Sus scrofa: one gene and its partners. The protein of the gene in region 4 purifies or fractionates together with the protein of the main gene of each other region. This does not show direct contact. Links are inferred from orthologs where the notes say so. Each region holds a gene or a part of one and is shown on either strand. Other genes may lie near its edges.

Region 1 (5,258 bases), on a different chromosome or scaffold from region 4:
CGGGGGACTTCTCGCTGTGGTGCCACGGGTTAAGGATCTGGTGGTGTTGCAGCTGCAGCTCAGATTCGATCCCTGGACTGGGAACTTCCCTATGCCGCAGGTGCAGCCAGGCCGGGGTCTGTGTGTCTATAAATTCACAGAACACGTCTAGAAGAATAAACAGCACCCTGCTAACAACAGTTCTTCCAGGAAGGGGAGTGAGTTCGGAGGGAAGGGGATGAAGGGGGCTTCCACTCTTCCCCTGGAGCCCTGGCATTTTCTTTTTTACAGGGCGTACTTCCTTTACAATTACAGACAGAATGAAAAACGCAAGTCGTTACCGTTGGGCAGGAGGGCGGCAGCGTTATCCTCGTCGATGTTCGCGTTGTACGTTAGGGCAGAGCACGAACCTGGAAACGAAAAGCCCAGAGGAGAACGAAGGCGAGAAAAAAAAGGCCACTCCTGCAAAGGCTGCTGGAGTATTTTCACGTGATGACACCATCTTCCGGGTCACTGCTCCAGCTCCAGCTCCCTCAGGGGCCCTCCGACCCGACAAAGCAAAGCTGGAGGACACGAAGGCCAAGCATGGCTCGTCCACGTCGGCGCCCGGGGCCTGCTGGTGCCCGCGGACTCTACCATCGCACAGAAAATGGACTCAGGATGGAGTGCGTACCCTTGGGGATGCTGGCAGAGAGGCAGGAGGTGAGCGGGTAGGTGACTGTGCACACCTGAGAGGGAGAGGCCAGGTGAAGACTCAACTGCGCCAGGAACTTGCGTTCAAGTCAAGAAAGCTACTCAGGAGTTCCTGTCGTGGCTCAGCAGGAAGGACTCTGACGCGCCTCCAGGAGGAGACAGGTTCAATGCCTGGCCTCGCTCAGTGGGTTAAGGATCTGGCATTTTGCCGTGAGCTGTGGTCTGTCACAGACGTAGCTTGGATCCCGCGTTGCTGTGGCTGTGGTGTAGGCCAGCAGCTGTAGCTCCGATTCAACCCCCAGGCTGGGAACTTCCATATGCCGCAGGTGTGGCCCCCGCCACAAAAAAAGCAGAAACCACCATCTAATGAGCGCACACACTGGGAGATGAAGGGACCACACAGACGGTCTCTGCCAGCCCTACTCAAACAGGAGAAGCGGCAGCTCCCGTGCAGTTCAGCAGGTTAAGGATCTAGTGTTGTCGCTGCAGTGGCTCAGGTCGCTGCTGTGACTTGGGTTTAATCGCTGGCCTGGGAACTTCTACACGCCGAGGGCATGGCCAAATAAATAAATAAATGAGTTCCCGTCAGGGCTCAGCACTTAAGAACATGACTCAGCCGTTAGTATCCATGAGGATTTGGGCTGCATCCCTGGCCCCGCTCAGTGGGTTAAGGACCTGGCGTTGCTGTGGCGGTGGTGTAGGCCGGCAGCTATAGCTCCAATTCAACCCCTAGCCTGGCAACCTCCATATGCCCTGGTTGTGGCCCTAAAAAAAAAAAGCCCTAAAGAAACAAATAAATAAAAAAACAAGAAGAACTCTAGTACTTTGGTGCCCTCCCCCTGGATGTCATCTCACCACATTCACAGACACTACACGGCTTTTCTTACCTTTCTTTACAAAAGTATTAATGAATTCGTGGGTGATTAATTCATGAAGAGGTAAATCCTTCACAGAGTAATAAGGTCCAAACGCCATGACCAGGTCTTTCAGTTCTTTTGAGAGTATCCCACATTCAGGAATCAGAAAGGAAACCTATTGGTAGGCAGAATATAACAAGGCTTATTTTTAAAAGCTGAAGTATAGTGGACTTATAGCATTGTGTTCGTTTCACATGTAGAGCAGAGTGCGTGCGTGTTTTTGTAGATTTTAGTCCACGACACAGTTTAAACAAGTTTGACTTTCGTATAGATCAACACCCAGGTTTTTTCATTTCTGTATTGATGAGCAAAACAATTTTAATGGAAAGCTCTGGCTTTTGTCTTATGTTCTGCAAATGAACGATGTATTTTCGGTCCTGTTCCTTTCACTACATGAATTAACTTTTAGGAAAATATGGTACAAGTGCACATCCCCAGATCTGCGTAGCGGACAGCGGAATATCCCTACACCTGGTACCAGGCTGGAACCAAAGGAACTGTCCCTTAGGGCATAAGGAATTTAGGGACGCCAATTATTATGAGGCTTCAAAGAAGCAGAAGTCTGCTGGATGTTTCCACTTTTCAGGTAGAAAAACTCTACAGATGAGACCGGGGAGGTAAGGAACACATCCCAGGCTGCCTGTGACGAGCTCTCCATCCAAAGCAGAGATACTCAACCTGAAAGATTTCAAATGCTGCCCAAGTGCTCCACACCCTGAAAAACCACGCACCCAAAGCTGGGACACCAGTCTGGCCCAGAGGAACCAGCGTCACCACTTGTGTCTGAGGATGGGGCCGGTCAGGCCCGAGTTGAAATTAGGCTCATCGATTTAAAGTATAAAAGGCTTAAGCCATTTTCATTTTAAGGTTTTTTGAAGCCCCCTCCACTTAAATGGGTTGGTGAAGCTGGCCCACCAGACACTTGCCTGGGAGCTACAGAAGTTTTCTACTCTCAGCAGATGCTGGATAAACCAATAATTAACCTCCCTGGTGCCTCGCCCGCCGCACCCACGAAAAAGGCGCCCCGTGAGCTTGACCTTTTCACGAGGCAACAGCGAACATCGCTCTTACGTGCTCGCGAGCAGGGCCACCTCGGCGCCTTTCTGCCAAAGAGATGGCGAGAAGGTTCGCTTCCGTGGGACATCGCGGAAGGCACCAAGCAAAAGGCACAGTGTCTCAGACGTCTAACCAGGGCCGAGGGGCGGATCAGAACAGCCAGCAGCCTCCCGGCCAGACGGCGCGCGGTGCTCAGGAAAGACCCCCGCGGGCGGGCGCACTGGGAAAGGAAACCGGTTTGTGGAAGAGCGAGTCCGGTTCGGACCACGTGCGGGGCATTGCCCGCCTACCCCCGGCCCCGCCCCTCCCGGGACGCGCCCAATCTGCGACCCGGTGGGAACAAGCGGCCAGCCGCACGCCGCCCCGCTCCTTCCTCCAACGGCGGGACACCGCCCCGCGCCGGCGCATCCTGGGAGTTGTAGTCCTGTAGCGGGGCAAACCGCAGACCCGAACAGGCTAGGAGACTACAGTTCCCAGCATGCCTGGAGAGGCCCAAGCCCCTCCGCACGCCGAGGGCGGGCTCCCGAGGAAGAGAGCCCGGCTGTCCCAAGCCTCCCTCTCCTCCGCGCTATGGAGCTCGGTTCGCGGTCTCAGGGCGGAGACTTACCCTGTAATTGTAATAGTGCGTCTCCACGATATGCCGGTGGCGCGACTTGTCGTGGCCGAAGTTGGACTTCTCGCAGACCAGCAAGTGCCGGGGAACCTCCCGCAGCCTGCACAGCGTGGCCATACTCTCCCCGCGCGGGCCCTGCCGGGGCTCGGCTAGCCCCGCCCCTCCTCGCCCGCCCCGCCCCTCCTCGCCCGCCCCGCCCCTTCGCCGCGGGCATGCGCAGTGCCTGCAGGCCACACGTGTTCAGGCGGCCAGGGTAGGGGCGGGGCTGACGCAGAGTGCGGGACTAGGCTGACGGTGAACCCAGGGCAAAACTCGCTGGTGGGTACTGGGAAGGTGCGCTGCCCGAAATGAATGCTCTTGCCTGAATCCTTTCTCTAGACTGGGGTTGCTCCTTCCCAAGTTCTACACAAACTTTTGCGTAGAAAGGTAGTACTCAGTACCTTCAATAGGACTCCTTAAGACTTCTTCCGAGTTAATTTTTCTTTTTTTTTTTTGTCTTTTTGCTATTTCTTGGGCCGCACACGCGGCATATGGAGGAGGTTCCCGGGCTAGGGGTCCAATCGGAGCTGTAGCCGTCGGCCTACACCACAGCCACAGCAACACAGGTTCCGAGCCGCGTCTGCAACCTACACCACAGCTCACAGCAACACCGGGTCCTTAACCCACTGAGCAAAGTCAGGGATTGAACCCGAAATCTCATGGTTCCTAGTCGGATTCGTTACCACTGCGCCATGATGGGAACTCCCCAGAACTACTTTTAACATCCTTTTTTACATATCTTTTTGGAACTTTTTTTGGCTGCTCATGTGGCATGTGAACGGAACCTGAGCTACAGCAGTGACCCCAGCCGCTGCAGTGACAACTTCAGACCTTAGTCCACTGCTCCAGGCGGGAATCCCCTTTTGCAACTTTGTTTTTGTTTTTAGGGCTGCACCCGCTGGCATATGGAGGTTCCCAGGCTAGAGGTCAAATCCGAGGTGTAGCTGCTGGCCTACACCACAGCCACAGCAATGTGGAACTGCTTTTAATAATTTGTTGCTCTTGGAGGTTATAGTGATAACTCATTTTTCCATCTAATTTTTCTGCTTAACTCCAAGTACTGTACTACTCCACGCTTTTCAAACTGGAGGATGCACAGCCCCAGTTCTACACAGAGGATGCAAACAGAGTATTTGTGATACACCTTTCTGGAGCATTAATTTTACTAAAAGATTTGGAAGGACAGAAGTTAAGTGATTTAGGGGGTAAGTATTTGCAATTCCAAAACTAAGACGGAATTCCCGTTGTGGCTCAGCGGAAACAAATCCGACTAGTATCCATGAAGATGTGTGTGTGATGCCTGGCCTCATTCAGTGGGTTAAGGGTCCTGCGTTGCCGCGAGCCGTGGCGTAGGCCGGCAGCTGTAACTCTGATTCAACAACCCCTAGCCTAGGAACCTCCAGGGTGGGGCCCTAAAAAGCAAATATATATATATATATATATATATATATAATAAAACGAAGACAGACTGGAAAATCTTCTGCCATTAATGTCAGCGACCTATGCCTCAAATGTCAGATTATCTCAGAGCACTCTAAGCAAAACCTATTTTCCATTATTTTAAGTAGGAGAAAGAAGGAATAGCAAGTCAATCAAACAACTACCAATATCCTAAATCACAATATGGCATCTAGATGTAACTTATGAATATTGTATTAGAATATAAAATACTTAAAGCAATACTTCTTGGTTACCACACAATTCAATAGCAGTTGCTTCTCAACAACTATTGAACAACACCTGATCCTTCAACCCACGGAGACAGGCTAGGGATCGAACCCGCGTCCTCATGAATGCTAGTCAGATTCGTTTCCACTGAGCCATGACAGGAATTCCTGATCCTATTCTTAAAAACTTACTAAATAAATAAACTTACTAAATACAAAGATTTGGCACATAATATTTGGAATTTTTTTCAATTTTTTTTGAAAAAAAATTATGGCATTACCATTGTGGCTCAG
Region 2 (5,239 bases), on a different chromosome or scaffold from region 4:
CTGTTGGCCTGAAGGGAGATATACATATTTGCTAGCATGTTGGAGAGGGAAATCATGAGTCACTGACAGAAATATAAAAAGAACTAAATATTGTGATTACAGTTTAGTCAATAACAATGCACTTTAAGTTACTGAAAGTTAATTAACATCAAATCAACTATAAGAATCCTTATACCATGCCCTAGCACTTCACTAAAAACCTTATCATTTGCACAAATATTCATCAGCTCAACTGTTAACATATAAGACAGTGCAGAAGTTCCTGTTGTGGCACAGTGAGTTAAGATTCTGACTGCAGCAGCTTAGGTCGCTGCAGAGGTATGTGTTCAATCCCCAGGCCAGTGCAGAGGGTTGATGCATCATGCCTTGCCATATCTGCGGTGCAGGTTGCAGCTATGGCTCAGACTCAATCCCTGGCCTGGGAACTTCCATATGCCGCAGATGCAGAACTTAACAAAAAAAAAAAAAAAAAAAAAAAAAAAAAAAAAAGGAGTTCCTGTTGTGCGTCAACTAATATCCATGAGGACGTGGGTTTGATCCTTGGCCCTGCTCAGCGAGTTAAGGATCCGGCACTGCCATGAGCTGCAGCAAAGGTGGCAGACGCAGCTTGGACCTGGCGTTGCTATGGTTGTGGTATAGGCTGGCAGCTTCAGCTCTGATCCATCCCCTAGCCTGAGAACTTCCATACGCCGTCGGTGCTGCCCTAAAAAAAAAAAAAAAAAAAGGGTAAAATAAAAAAATAAACAAAAAATAAAAAAAGACAGTGTACAAAGAGTGAACTTAACAAATATGCTCATCTGCAGCTTCTATATTACAAATATACACACAAATAATTATAAATGCTAGTTATTATTAACTTCAGAAATTGTATTTTACCTGTTTCTTTTCCTTAAATTCAACAACATGATTGATGGCAACAACTGAATAGCCCACTGAAAAGAAAAATTGAACATTCTTATTAAATACAATAACCTCTCTTCCCTGTACACATAGGCTCATCCCAATTCATATCAAGACTAGAAGATAGTTAGAAGAATGGTTATGGGACAGGCTCTGGAGTCAGACTGCCAGTTTTCAAATCTTAAGTTACTTTAAGTTTCAGCTTCTTCATCTATCATATGGTGTTAATAACAGAATTTACCCCATATAACTGTCATGAGAACTAAATGAGATAACACACATAGCATGTTTAAAAATGGTGGCTGGCACAGAGTTAGGGTTTTGTTTGACCTGGGTGATGTATTATTAGCAAGACACAGAAGACCCTTAACTTTGTGCATCTCCTTTCAACCATCATTCTCTTTCAGGCCTTTTTTCATTTTCATCCCATCAAATTATATTTTTTCACTGTTATCTTCATTCTTACTCATTTTGTTTGCTCTTTACCCCTTCTGCTTTTTCAGAGGCCCCTGTGCTAAGGAGAAATGGAATAAGGACTCCCTTACATGCCACTGTCCCCATCCCCTTTTGAGTTGCCCACCAACAAGAGATTGGGAACTCTCTGAAGTCAGAGCCTAGTTTATCAGCCTCAACACAGCACTGTTTTTGGACATATGGACTACCAAAAATACATCTAAATCATGACTTAAAACGTTGAGTTAAACACCAATGGGGAGGACAGGATATTAATATTAAAGAAATAATGCATATCGGAGTTCCTGTTGTGGCTCAGCAGTAATGAACCTGACTAGTATCCAAAAAGCTGCAGGTCTGATCCCTAGCCTCATTTAGTGGATTAAGAATCCAGTGTTGCCACGAGCTGTGGTGTAGGTTCAAGCCTCCACCAGGATTCCATGTTGCTGTGGCATAGGTGGGCAGCTGCAGCTTCAACCCCTAACCAGGGAACTTCCATACCCTAAGGGTACGGCCCTAAAAGGACTAAATAAATAAATAACATATATTAATGCCAAGATAGTGGTCTTCCCTCTCAATAGTTTTTCCAATTTCCTTCTTTCTTTCCTCCTTCAAATGAGGATCCATTACTTGATAGGCCCTGCAGATATCTCTCTCTCTCTCTCTTTTTTTTTTTTTTTGCTTTTTAGGGCCGTACCTGTGGCATATGGAAGTTCGCAGGCTAGGGGTCGAATCAGAGCTATAGCTGCCAGCCTACACCACAGCCACAGCAACACGGACTTCAAGCCGCATCTGTACACCGACGCTCACCCCAACGACGGATCCTTAACCCGCTGACAGAAGCCAGGGGTAGAACCCACATCTTCATGGATACGAGTTAGGTTGTTACCGCTGAACCACAACCGGGAACTTCGAAGAAATGTCTTTATTTTTAAACCCCTCTATCTCCACTTAGACACTTTAAGTCTAAGGAAGAAGGCAGAAGTCGCGATTAACTTCGATTAGAACGATCTTACCTCTCAGGGCTTCTGCTTTCCTTGGATTCAAATACGAGTAACATTCTAGCATTCTGGCCATGCTGGTCCCTTCCCAACCTCTTGGTGTGTCCTACGCCTCAACCTACCCTCCCTCTAAATAACATTATTCCAACACTCGCAGCCCCACGTCCCACCACCCCCGCCCATTTTCGGAGCACCCAAAGCACTCCCCATCTGTGCACCAACCAGCTTTCCGCATTTGACTGAGTCAGTACACAGTGGTGAGAGGTAGGAAGGGGCGATATTAAAAGCACAGGTGGAGACTAGCTTTGGCCAGCCTTCAGCTGTGAGGCCCTATATAAGTCCCTGGCCCTGTTAGGACCTCAGTTCCCCAATTCACAATAAAGAAGGAGCTGGACTGGGTAACAGTTCCCCAGCGCTTTTCGAGTTTCCCGGGCCCGGGATCACAGCAACCCCGCAGAAGGCATCAGCTTCCAGAGACTGCCTCCAGACCCCAGAAGACCTGAATGAGGCCCGGCCGCGTCCCTTCCGAACGTGGCCCGACGATCTGGATGGCAGCGAGGCTGGGCAGGCACCGCTGCTCGCGAAGCCGCGGCGACTCACGGTAAGCGGCGTTCTCCACGAGCCCACGCAGCGCCTTGAGGTCGGAACCCGCTCGCAGGTCCAAATCCACGAACACCGCCATGCTGAAATCACGTGAACTTGCGCGGCTGTCTGCGCAGCCGCAGGGCCCGCCCCCTCGGGGCACGCTGGGAATTGCAGTTTTCCTAAGCAGTCCTCCCGTCCCTCCCGCGGACTGACGTTCCCAGGCTCTTTGAGCGCCTTCGGATCCCAGCAGAAGTTAGTGTGTGGAAGTCAGCAGCCTCACTTCAGTTCTTCTTCCTCTGGATGGGAAAGTTTTGTTTCCCTCGAAGGGGTTCACATAGCCCACCATTCCTCCTGTGAAATAATGTAGAAAATGATTCTTTCAAAATGTACGTATACAGCATTTATTGAGGACTTACAGGGAAAGAAGGTCTGGAAACCCTTAAAAAGTAAGGGTTTTAAATCCGTTTTTCTTTCCCGCCCCTAAAGGTCATTCCATTGTTTAAATTGGACTTAATGGGGAGATGGGGAAACTGACCTGACAACTCGAAAAAGGTTTGCTCGAGAAAAAAGTCATTTTGCTCAATCAGAACAGACGGTGGCACAGCATGCTAAACTCCATTACAGCCAGTATTCTCAACCTGGAGTTGGCAGGGATAAGCGGTTAGCTTCAGCACGTGTTTAGCCAAAAATGGGTTAGACAAGGGAGGTGCACAATTGAAATGTTTTACAGTTTTCCGTCTGACAGATGTACAAGGTGGAATATATCCCACAGTTGTGATGGTTCCACATTTTCGTACACATGAACTCTTGAAGAGTGATAAATTAATTATCCGAGAACATAAAACTCTGGAACTAGAGTTTACATCACTGCTTTACAAAGTACCCGTGATTACTGGGTCAGTTCACCGAGTTCCCAACCCCCCTCCCTCCACCAGTTCTTCTAGCACCAGTAGTGATCCATTGTCCTTTACCCACAGGCAGCTCTGGCCTCAAAAGATTAATCTAACATCTGAACTGCTCTATACTAGACTGAATAAGAGTCCACAAATCAGGGGCTTGGATCTCCAGACTATGCCAAAGGGATGTGAAAGTTTGTAAACATTTTCCGTTTCTTTGCTAACTTGTCACAGACAGTACACAGAGTCTCGGGTTTGTGGGCCACATCTTGATTTGTTCTTTACATGACTTCTTTCTTGGTCTCAGAAGGGAATTTTAAGAGGGATCTGTTCCATGTGGTAGTATGTAATTCTCCTTTTGGTTAAGTTCAATAAAAAAGAAATCTTCTGCTATCTAATATTTGATGTTTTCTAAGTAAGAACAGAAGAAAATTTTACTTCTGCAAATAGAAGAAAGTCATATAAAACAAACTCTGGCTTCTCATCTGAAAATCTCGTGTTAATTTTGCAGGAAGATCTAGTGTTAATTTTATAGGCGTCTTCATCTGCAGCCACAAAACCTAAATTGTTTGGAAATATGTCCGATGTGTGGTGAAGGTGAATAAGATGACTCATTATTTGATACCAGAATTAGACTACAGAGGGCTTCTTTCTTTGAAAGTCATGACGCTGTTTCTGTGGACTGTATACCCTTTAAACTTCTTATCTTCACCCTGGGCTTAGAAGGGAGGAAGAAGGACGAAAAAGAAAATGAATGAACGACAGTCACTGAGCAGTCTACTGAGGGCCAGCCTATTTGCTAAGTAGTTGCCTGCATGTTTAATTTTCAAAACAACTGAGTTAAGTGCTGCTTTTTCCACAACCTCTGCATTTTACATTTGAATCATCTGAGGCTTAGGTCATTGTGGTAGGACCACAGGTGGATCCAGGTGGCTTGGATCTATTCTCATGTCTCTATGTACTGTCTCCTGGACAAAGCAAGCAGAGAGGAGAGTTGGAGGATGGAAAAGAGGAGGGAGTAAAGACAGGGGAAAGGAAGAGGAGAATGAAGGGCGGGGGTGGGGGGAGAATGAATGGAGGGGGAGGACAGAGGAAGTAGGGAGAGAGGGAAAGGAAAGGAAGGAGATAGAAGAGGGAAGGAGGAGTGGGAAGAGAGAAAAAAGAGAATGCCATAGGGGAGATGAGAAGGGAAGAGGAGCCAGAAGTTGACTTGGGGAGTTCCAGTCGTGGCGCAGTGGTGAATGAATCCGACTAGGAACCATGAGGTCGCGTGTTCCGTCCCTGCCCTTGCTCAGTGGGTTAAGGATCCAGCGTTGCCTTGAGCTGTGGTGTAGATTGCAGACGCGGCTCGGATCTGGCATTGCTGTGGCTCTGGCGTAGGCTGGCGGCTACAGCTCCAATTCG
Region 3 (4,993 bases), on a different chromosome or scaffold from region 4:
TCCACCAGAGTCGGATTAGGCGCTGGGGTTCTGCCTTCAACAAGGCCCCAGGTACAATCTGTGAGGGCCCCAGAAGCCTCTGCCATTCCTAAGTAACCTGGTGTGATTTTCTAAGAACTGGAACAGCAGAGTATGCACGTGACAATGATGCTTTCATTCTGTGCCCTTTCGTAAGCCTCCCTCCCTCCCTCCCTGGACCCTGAGTTTCTTGTGCATCTTTCCTAAAACATCAGTACACAGTTGCCCCCTTCCTACATTCCTCTGGCTGACTCTGTGATGAAAACGAGGGAAATTTGTAATGGAAGTTAAAGATATTAATCCATTAAGGCAAAACAGTAAGAGGGGGTCCTTACTGGTGAAATGTTATCCACCACTGCTCTGGAGCACATGTCCTGGTCATCCTGCCCAGAGGAAACTGCATATGGCTCTTCCCTTGTTTTCTTCCTCACTTCCTTCCTGGGCTCAGCTGGGAACCACAGGGACCCATGTTGCAAAACTGAAGGAAGTTCAACTAGCCAGCTCTGGAGAAGTCTGGAGCTGGGTGGTGTCCCTGTTCGTCCCTGTTCTCAGGTAACCAGATTTTCTCATTCCAGATACGCCCTCATTGTAGATCTTTTCATCCCATGGACACCCGCCCTCCGCAGAGCGCCCCCTGCAGGATTAGCAGTTAAGTCCCCTCCAAGTAAACTTCCACCCAGAAGCCCAGTCACTGATGCTGTTGCTGAAGGGCAGGTATTTCCGTGGGGTAGTCAGAATGTGTGAACAATTTCTCTGTGAATTATCAGATGCTCACAAAGCACCAGTTTAACTGCCTAGCGTGTGGAGGAGGAGAAGGGCTCAGGTTAAGTAAGTACCTTGCCCGAGTCACACCTGGTTTTCCCAAATCCAATTTTAATGCTCTCTCAATCCTGGCTGCACCTCAGAAATAATCTGTGACTTTTTCTTTGTCTTTTTAGGGCCGCACCTACAGCATATGAAAGTGCCCAGGCTAGGGGGTGAATCAGAGCTGCAGCTGCCAGCCTGCACCACAGCCCACAGCAACCCCGGATCCTTAACCCACTGAGGGAGGCCAGGGATCAAACCCTCATCCTCATGGATAATAGTCATAGTTCTTAATCCGCTGAACCACAACAGGAACTCCCTAATCTGTGACTTTTTGGTAAAACATGTGGACGGCTGGTCCTCTCAAGGTCTACTGAATCGGAATCCCTGAGGACATGGCACGGCACCTGTACTTGGAAAAAAGGCTGCCGGGAATCTGATAGAGAATGGGGCTTGAGAACGCCGGTGTAGGACGGGGGCCTTTCCACACCGGGCAGCCTGAGAAATGGTCCCCTGACCTCTGCTGGCCTTGGTGTTCCTTCTACGTCACCTTCTCACAGAAAATCAAAATTCAGCTCCCTAGGGGAGAGAGCCCAGACCTTGGTGTTGGTATCAGTGGTGCCCACGGCTAGAAAGGCGGTTTGGGCCTCTGAAGCTGCTTCCTCCACCCTGCCCCAGGGCGCAGCCCTCCCCACCCATCATCCCCACACTCCCCTCCAGTGCAGTCACGCCCCATGACGGGATTGGCAGAGGCCAGTGCCAACCCGAAGGTGGTCAGAGGAGGGAAATAAATGACTCAGGAACGAATACAATGATCTGACAGAGGTCCTGCCAGACTGCAAACCACAGTTCACGTGCCTCAGCATCCAGACAACACGGAGGAAATACTTACAGGTACGTGCTCTGTGCATCAGCTCCTCCTGGCTTCAGAATCTAGACAGGGAGACAAGGACCAAGGGGTTCCGTTCAGATGAGTCTCATGGAACAGAATCCAAAACTAAAGTGGAAGAAGTAACAGGATTTGAAAGAAAATGGAGGCCTCAGGCCTGTAGCATCAAGTGTGAACTCATTAAGGTGACAGCCAAGTCAGTCCACACTCTGGCGCATCCCCCCATCATCTTTCTCCTCATGCCCCACATATTGTTTCAAGAGATGACCAGTTCCTCCCTCCAGGGCTTTATACATATTCCCTCTGCCTGGAAAACTACTCCTACCATCAGCCCCAACAACACCATATTTCTTACTAGAGCAAGTATCTGCGCATTTCCCACAATGCCAGCAAGCCAGAAAGATTACAAATGAAAGCAAAACAGCCACTGGATCCACTGGGCTCAGAACCTATGAGGAAGATTTATCAGCGAGTAATAAAATAACATGCGATGCAAATCAAGGTACGGAAACTACGAGATGTAGAGCAGAGATCTGACTCTGTTGAGAAGGTCAGGAAAGGCCTCCTGGAGGAAGTGTCCCTTTAACCTGCATCTGAAGAATACCTACCAAAGGGCTATCAGAAAGGGTATCCCAGGAAATTGCGTTAAAAGAAAGAATGTCAATATCGCCGGAGCAGAGATGCTAGAGCGGGTGAGATGGTGAGGAAGACTTGCAAACCTTGCAGCGGGAAGCGGCAGTGGGAACGTTCAAAGCAAGATGAGCGATGTAGTTAGAAAGGCCTCAGGGAAAGAGCTGTGTGAACTTGGACCAGGAGGAGGCCTTTGCCAAGGACCAAACCGTAAAGAAATGACTGCGGCACTAGAGACGCCGCAGAGGGATGAACAGAAGGGGTGCAATCCGCCCGACTTAGCGATCAACTGGGAGTAAAACAGAGAAAGAACTCAAGAGAGGGGTCTCGAGTTTCGGGGTCCGGCAGCCGAGGGGATGACAGGGCCAATTCCCAGTGTTGATCCCTCCTAATGTCTGCTGCCTCTCTAGTGCCTACCGACTTTACGGTTTAGCACACGAGACTAGAATTATTTTCTTGTCCGCCTCCACTTCCAGACTGAGTAGTACAGAGGGACCAGGGTGGGCGTTATTTCTCGTACCCAACAGTGCTCAGCTCCCGGCGGAGAGCAGACTAGCGGCCAAAGCCAGGACACCGGAAAACACTGTGGTCCCGGGTGCGTGCGCCCTCAGAGTCGGGGAGCGGGGGAGACGGCGCGCACCCGGCAAAGCCCCAGGACGGATCCCTCCCCTGGCGGCCGCTCGGAACGTCAGACCCCCGCCCGAGCCCCACTCACGGTGGCCTCTGCGCCAGCTCCACGTGGGCCGCTCTGCGCGCGCGCAGAACCTGCGCCTTCTCCGGCCCCGCCTTTCGACGCGCTGGGGTGATGTGGACCACTCGGGGGACCTCACTCTTCTTCCTTCTGCGCCGGGCTAGTCCCAAACGCCATTTCTCAAAAAGGCTAGAAAAAGGGAAAGGTTCGATCTCTAGAAACTGCCTTGAGCTGGGGTGAGGATCCGGAAAAGGCCATCCAGAGGCAGTGCGCAGGTGCAGGGTGTGTCTCGCGAGAGCTCTGGTTGCCTGGTAACCGGCCGCTTGCGGGGTGTGCGGCTGGATGTGAGCGCCAGTCCCTTCGCCATTAGACTCCGAGAGGATGGTTTTCTACTTTGTAACGCAACACTCTTCCAGTGTCCTCCTTTCTGCGCCTGGGGATCTGAGCTCTTCTCGCTTTAGTTTTTAACTTACCTGAGGGTCGCAAAACCCTGACGCAGTGCCTCTGTCACTGAGTCCCTGCCGAATCCCTAGCAACGTGGAAATCAAGATAAATAGGGGATGGGGAGGTGCCGTCACAAGTCCGGCAGTTAACTGCTGCGCCAGGAGTGAAACGCCTGTGATTTTTAAATTTTTATTACAATCAGATTTAAAAGAATGAATTTACAACGAATTTGTAACAACTTTTGTTTCATAAAATGAATAGTAACAAATAATGCTGATGCACTGCAAACAGGCAGTTCTAAATTAGTCTCAGTTTGGGGCAGCAAGTCCTCATGGTCCAGCAGAATTCTTTTCTTGAAATGTCACTGACTGTCCTAATTCGGCTCTGCTCTGTTTGTACCCTGCCAGTCTCCTTATTCATCAGAAACGAGATGGAGGTGTTGGGCTTTGGAAGGCAAGAAGTTTGTATCTTGTGTTTTTTTTTGTTTTGTTTTTATTTTTTAATGTAATACTCAAAATCTTTGTTGGGGACTAACTAGCATGTATACTACCACTGATAAAAAAAAGGCTGTGAGCCTATACCCTAAGGCAGGTCAAGTAAAATAAGATCAATTTACAGACTCAGACAGTAAGTGCAACAGTTTTGGCTGTGTTAGGTAATAGCTTAGACTTCATGAATCATCCAGTCTGTTAAAAATATTAATAAGCTCCTGAAAGAGCTTCTGCAACCAGAATAATGTTTTAAAATTTAAGGCTAATTACTCCCAAATCAACCAGTTTTGAATGTAACAACTCTGGCCCTTGAATTGGTAAATTACTAATTATAGTTATCCTTTGTTGGCTTTAAATTGAATTAGATTAACCTGTGACCCAGTGATTTTTCTGGCTTCTTATGTGGTCAATGCAGTTAAATTTAATGGTGGCAGAACTGATATTTAAATGTTAAATGTAAGAATCAATTGCAAGGTCATTTTTTTTTCAAAGTAATGAAAAGGTGATACTTCATCTACTGTCAAATTACAGGGTAATGACTTAGTCCTACAGAGTGTCTCTCAAACCTTCAATGAAGCCACAGTGATTCAAGAATGATAAAAGTATCATTTCAAAGATGAAGTAATGTTGAGTGTAAATCACATTCTAAGTGATGCCACCAAATACAAGTTTTTAAAGCTCTCAGAAATTGGATAAAAAGATGAGAAATCATTGAATCAGAGTGGAAGGTTTTTAAAAAGGTTTTTAAAAATGAAATAGGCATGACATTTTTAAAATAATCTAATATTTTAATATCTAAAAAATAAAATTAAAAATAGTGTCAAATTTAGCTTTTAAGATGTAAGACAAATAGAAATGCACGTCTGATTAAAATGCTAAAGGGAAGGAATTATGTATGAGGTTTTGTCCCCCTAACATCTCAGATTTATAGCTTTAGCAGCATCTTTCTGGGAAGATTTGCAGCCGATGTAATCATGACTCTGAGCTACGCTGTCCAAGGTTAAAATCCCAACTTCATATCTAACT
Region 4 (4,538 bases):
CTTATATGGAAACAGTCCTGCATCTTTGGAATAAACTCTACTTGGTTGTGGTGTATAATTCTTTTTTTATATACCACTAGATTCAGTTTGCTAAGATTTTGATGAGGATTTTGTTGCATTGTTCATGAGAGATATTGGTCTGTGGTTTTCTACTTTGTATAATCTCTGTCTGGTTTGGGTCTCATAAAATGGACCCTCTTCTATTTTCTGAAAGAGATTGTCTAGAATTTGCGTTTTCTTTCTTTCTTTCTTTTTTTTTTTTTTTTTGGTAGAATTCACCAGTAAAACTATGTGAGCCAAGATATTTCTTTTTATAAAGTTAAAAAAAACCTATGAATTTAATTTCCTTAATAGTTACAGAACTATGCAGATGATCTACTTCATCTTGGGTAAGTTTGGTAGTATGTGGTTTTCTGGGAATTGGTCCATAAATTGTGGAATTTGTCTGTAGCGTGGTCTATATTACTCTAAGTATACTTTAATGTATGAGGGATCTTTAGTGCTATCCTCTCTTTCATTTCTGGTAATCATAACTTGAATCTTCGTTCTCTTGTTCTTTTGTCAGTCTTGCTGGAGGCTTATCCATTTTATTGATCTTTTTCAAAGAACCAGCTTTTGGTTTGAATTTCTTTATTGTTTTCTTGTGTTCAGTTTAACGGAGGTTTTTTGGTTTGCTTTTATTAAAGTATAGTTGATTTACAGTGTTGTGCCAATTTCTGCTTTACATACAGCAAAGTGACCCAATCACACGTATATATACATTCTTTTTCTCATAATTTAATTGGTTTTTGTTCTTTATTGTTTCCTCCCATCTTCTCCCTTTGGCTTTACTTCGCTCTTTTTCTAGTTCCTTGAGGTGGAAGCTTGGATTACACTTCCATTCTTTTAAAAATGTTTCCAGAATACTCCTTGGTTCCCTGAAGAACTCCTGTTTGTCCATCAAAACTCAGCTCATATGTCACTTCTGAGGCAGAATAAAGTGGTAGACAGGCTTTCCTCCTCACCCCCAAATAGCCCCCAAACTTGTAAATATCTGAAGCTAAAAAGAACCACAGGATTTAAATGGTGCTGGGAAAGTTCTCAGGAACCTGACCACTTTACAACCTCCAGTCAAATGGAGTCGGACTCCACCCCAGGCAACAAAAAGCCGTGTAGGGGGCATAAAAATGCCAACTCAAATGTATAGGCTTACAGTTTACCCAAGGTTATATCGGGTTTCGAAACTCAGTGGCAAGAACAGGAATTGTCATCCCTATTTGAGTGATGAGAAAACTCAAGCGAAGAACAGTCAAGGACCCCAGTGCAGCTCTAACTCAGTTTCCAGTGGAACTCCACCAAAGCTAAAGCAACCTGGGCCGAGAACCCCTCCCCACTGGCCTTAGGGAGCCTCCAATCCCTCTGTGCTGCCCTGCCCTTCCCGCCAGGGGGCGCAGGTCCCTGCTCCTGGGTGGCGGGCAGAAGCCAAAGAGCTGGTGGATGACGACTGAGGAGTGCTAGTGGGTCTGCGAGCCACAGGGAAGCTGTAAAGGCTAGCCCCACGGCTCACAACTCGCGTCCCCAGGCGCTGGCCTGGAGGTCACCCTGGTCAGAGAAAGGGGAGAAGAACGGGTCCCCGTAAACTGCAGAGGAGTCCCCGAGCCAAAGAACTTGTCCTCCGCCAAGGGCCGGGCCTTGCTTGCCCCCATCTTCGGGCAGCCGGAATCTTGGACGGGAGGTCAGTTCTGCCACACCTCCTCTGACCCGAGGAACTGCGATGGACCCGGGAGTCCAGACTTCTCTTTAGGCCATTCGCGATCAAGATCAGTGGAATTCGCCGTCCTCCCTCACACCTTTGGAAGACCCTTACCCCTAAATCCTCCACGCCCCTAGAAAACCTCCTCTCTTTTCTCCCCTTCATGACTCCTCCGGGAACCGAGTACTGGGTGGGATTGGCCCAGGGAAGCTAACCTTTCTCTTTCCAGATCCTCCCCGGCTTCGACTTGGTATACGCCCCCTGCCTCTGCAGCTTACAAGTGGTAGATCCCATCACCCCCGGAAGCCTCGCGTTACTCAAACACATCGCGCGGTTTTGCGAGCAACTCAGGAAAGGGGCGGGGAGAACGGATGCCGGGAAGGCGATTCGCGGATCGCCCGGGCCTGGCCACGGGGTATGGGCGCGCCTGCGCACTCGGGGGCCTTTTCAGGAGCCTGGTACTAAGGGCGCCCGTGTTTCGGCGTTCCTGCGGCGAGTCCCTTCCCTTCTCTTCCCTTTTTGGGGCCTGGGAGTTGCGGGCAGCTCCTTCCCTTCAGACTGGTCGGCGCAACGCTCGAGTGGCCTGGCAGGGGAGCGGGCTGCGTGCGCGCTGAGGGCACTGTGGAGCGAAGAAGGTAGGCGTGGGAATAGCTGGGGCGGTGGAGGGGCCTGAGATTGGGAGCGATGTGATGGATGAATGGGAACCGGAGGTGGGGGAGATGCTTGAGCTTGAGGTAAGTGGGAAGGGACTGAGACTTGAAGCGACGAGGGGCGTCGAGTGCGACCCCTCTTGGCTGCACCGTTTGGGCGGGAAACGGGGTAGGAAACGAAACCTGGTCTCTCCTCACCCATGGCTGATCTTTCTCCCACACCAGGGCACACTGCATGGCTGAAAACCGAGAACCCCGCGGGGCCGTCGAGGCCGAGCTGGACCCGGTGGAATACACCCTGCGGAAGCGGCTTCCCCACCGCCTGCCCCGGAGGCCCAATGACATTTATGTCAACATGAAGACTGACTTTAAGGCCCAGTTGGCCCGCTGCCAGAAGCTGCTGGACGGAGGGGTAAGGGGTCAGAATGCATGCACTGAGATCTACATTCATGGCTTGGGCCTGGCCATCAACCGCGCCATCAACATTGCCCTGCAGCTGCAGGCTGGCAGCTTCGGGTCCTTGCAGGTAGCTGCCAATACCTCCACCGTGGAGCTTGTCGATGAGCTGGAACCAGAGACTGATACACGAGAGCCACTGACGCGTATCCGCAACAACTCAGCCATCCACATCCGTGTCTTCAGGGTCACACCTAAGTAAAGGAGATGAGGCCGGCCCACCTTATCCACCCATCCCATACAGCTTGGCTCAGAAGTGGCTTTTGTACTGAGTACATGAACCTCCTACCAGGACCATGTAGGATAAAGCCTATCCCCTCACCATCCAGAGGACTCTGAATTGAGAGGGTGAATATTGTCTTTTGTTGGGCTCAAGCCGTGAGTCTTCCTGAATCTTTGTGGTCTGTAACCATTGTCCTATACAATAAAAAGCATCAAGTTGTGTTAGTGCCTGGCCACCCAACTGCACCACCTCTCTGCTGTGTAAATTCAGTGTGTACCTGGAAAGGAGAGTAGGAGTAAAATTTTACAAGGACGTAGGTACAAGAGGGGAAACAGTGTTTCCTGCCTTCACAGAAAGAGCATAAATTGTACCACAGACACTGCAGCATAAAACAAACTTTAGCACAAAACAGAAGTCTGAAAATCCTGATGTTTGCTTTCAAATATTTCATTCTCTCAGGAGCTCCCACTGTGGTGCAGTGGGATTGGGAGTGCTGGGATGCGGGTTGGATCGCCATCCCCACACACTGGGCTAAGGATCTGATCCTGAGCCCAGGAGCTCTATATGCCTCAGGGCAGCCAAAAAAAAATTTTTTTTTCATCCTCTCAGAAGAAGGCAGGGTGGATAATGTGTATATTCTTGCCAGCTGGGGTGTAAAGCATCAGGCACTACTCTGGTGCTGGTTACCAGGCACAGGAAAGGTGAGGGTATAAGGATGATGGACGCAAAGACAGGCCCCTCCTTTGTAAAAGGCTGTTAAGGCTGTCGTGGGAACCGACAAACTGACAGCTACATTCGATTCCTGGTGGCGGGGGGCAAATTGTTCTAAACAGCTATTCAGACCCCTCTGGCTAGGCTATTCTAAGAGGGAAAGGAAAGCCTTTCCTCTGAATTACTGGGCATACAGGCCATAAGTACTTTTTTGTTTGGATATTTGTAGGAGGATCTGATTTCTCATGTTTATCAAACGAGTCATCTAAAGCAATGTTATCCAAGTGGGTGGTGACCGTTTGTGAGGTTTAAAATCAATTCACTGGGTCATAGCCTTTTAAAAAGCAAGTAAAAAAGAAAAAGTGCAGCTTCAATGGTAATATCTTGTTGACACTGTTTCAGTTGTAGATGTGTATATAGACACATGTACTAGTTATGACATAAATCTTACTGTTGGTTGAGGTCACAAGAGTTTGAAAGCCTTTGATCTAAAGGTTAATAACAGAATTTGCCTCTAGTTTGCCTGAAGGCAGTTTGGTTAGGGGTTCTGAAAATCAGCCTTTCCGTTTATCAGAATCTCACCCCCCAGCTTGAGTATTACTGTTGATGAGGGACTTTGATGCTGTACAGGTGACTATCAGCAACTCAGGAAAGGACAGAAGGACTAGTGCTTCTTTCTAACTACTACACACATGCTGAGTACCTGTTGTAAGCGAAGGCCTGGGCTGGGCCCTGCAGATACAAAGATGAGCATAAAATGGCCCCT

The links.
Region 1: the proteins of POP7 (region 4) and RPP40 purify together in Homo sapiens (co-immunoprecipitation; 4 studies listed by BioGRID and IntAct, with this or other methods). This does not show direct contact. The link is inferred for Sus scrofa from reciprocal best matches to the Homo sapiens genes POP7 and RPP40.
Region 2: the proteins of POP7 (region 4) and RPP30 purify together in Homo sapiens (co-immunoprecipitation; 4 studies listed by BioGRID and IntAct, counting the BioPlex papers as one, with this or other methods). This does not show direct contact. The link is inferred for Sus scrofa from reciprocal best matches to the Homo sapiens genes POP7 and RPP30.
Region 3: the proteins of POP7 (region 4) and RPP38 purify together in Homo sapiens (co-immunoprecipitation; 3 studies listed by BioGRID and IntAct, with this or other methods). This does not show direct contact. The link is inferred for Sus scrofa from reciprocal best matches to the Homo sapiens genes POP7 and RPP38.

The regions. Positions count from the first base shown.
Region 1 is NC_010449.5:3,001,868-3,007,125, forward strand, and holds the start of RPP40 (ribonuclease P protein subunit p40), read right to left. Parts: upstream 3,433-5,258; 5' UTR 3,376-3,432; coding exon 3,253-3,375; intron 2,866-3,252; exon of another isoform or gene 2,627-2,865; intron 1,705-2,626; coding exon 1,560-1,704; intron 390-1,559; coding exon 321-389; intron 1-320. UniProt on the Homo sapiens protein: Component of ribonuclease P, a ribonucleoprotein complex that generates mature tRNA molecules by cleaving their 5'-ends. Also a component of the MRP ribonuclease complex, which cleaves pre-rRNA sequences.
Region 2 is NC_010456.5:102,563,850-102,569,088, reverse strand, and holds the start of RPP30 (ribonuclease P protein subunit p30), read right to left. Parts: upstream 3,288-5,239; 5' UTR 3,037-3,287; coding exon 2,955-3,036; intron 933-2,954; coding exon 877-932; intron 1-876. UniProt on the Homo sapiens protein: Component of ribonuclease P, a ribonucleoprotein complex that generates mature tRNA molecules by cleaving their 5'-ends. Also a component of the MRP ribonuclease complex, which cleaves pre-rRNA sequences.
Region 3 is NC_010452.4:46,722,652-46,727,644, forward strand, and holds the start of RPP38 (ribonuclease P protein subunit p38), read right to left. Parts: upstream 3,312-4,993; 5' UTR 3,057-3,311; intron 1,820-3,056; 5' UTR 1,715-1,819; intron 1-1,714. UniProt on the Homo sapiens protein: Component of ribonuclease P, a ribonucleoprotein complex that generates mature tRNA molecules by cleaving their 5'-ends. Also a component of the MRP ribonuclease complex, which cleaves pre-rRNA sequences.
Region 4 is NC_010445.4:8,606,086-8,610,623, forward strand, and holds POP7 (ribonuclease P protein subunit p20), read left to right. Parts: upstream 1-1,445; 5' UTR 1,446-1,714; intron 1,715-1,961; 5' UTR 1,962-2,367; intron 2,368-2,580; coding exon of another isoform or gene 2,581-2,617; coding exon 2,618-3,040; 3' UTR 3,041-3,306; downstream 3,307-4,538. Other genes in the region: branchpoint-bridging protein-like, read right to left, coding at 2,581-2,619. UniProt on the Homo sapiens protein: Component of ribonuclease P, a ribonucleoprotein complex that generates mature tRNA molecules by cleaving their 5'-ends. Also a component of the MRP ribonuclease complex, which cleaves pre-rRNA sequences.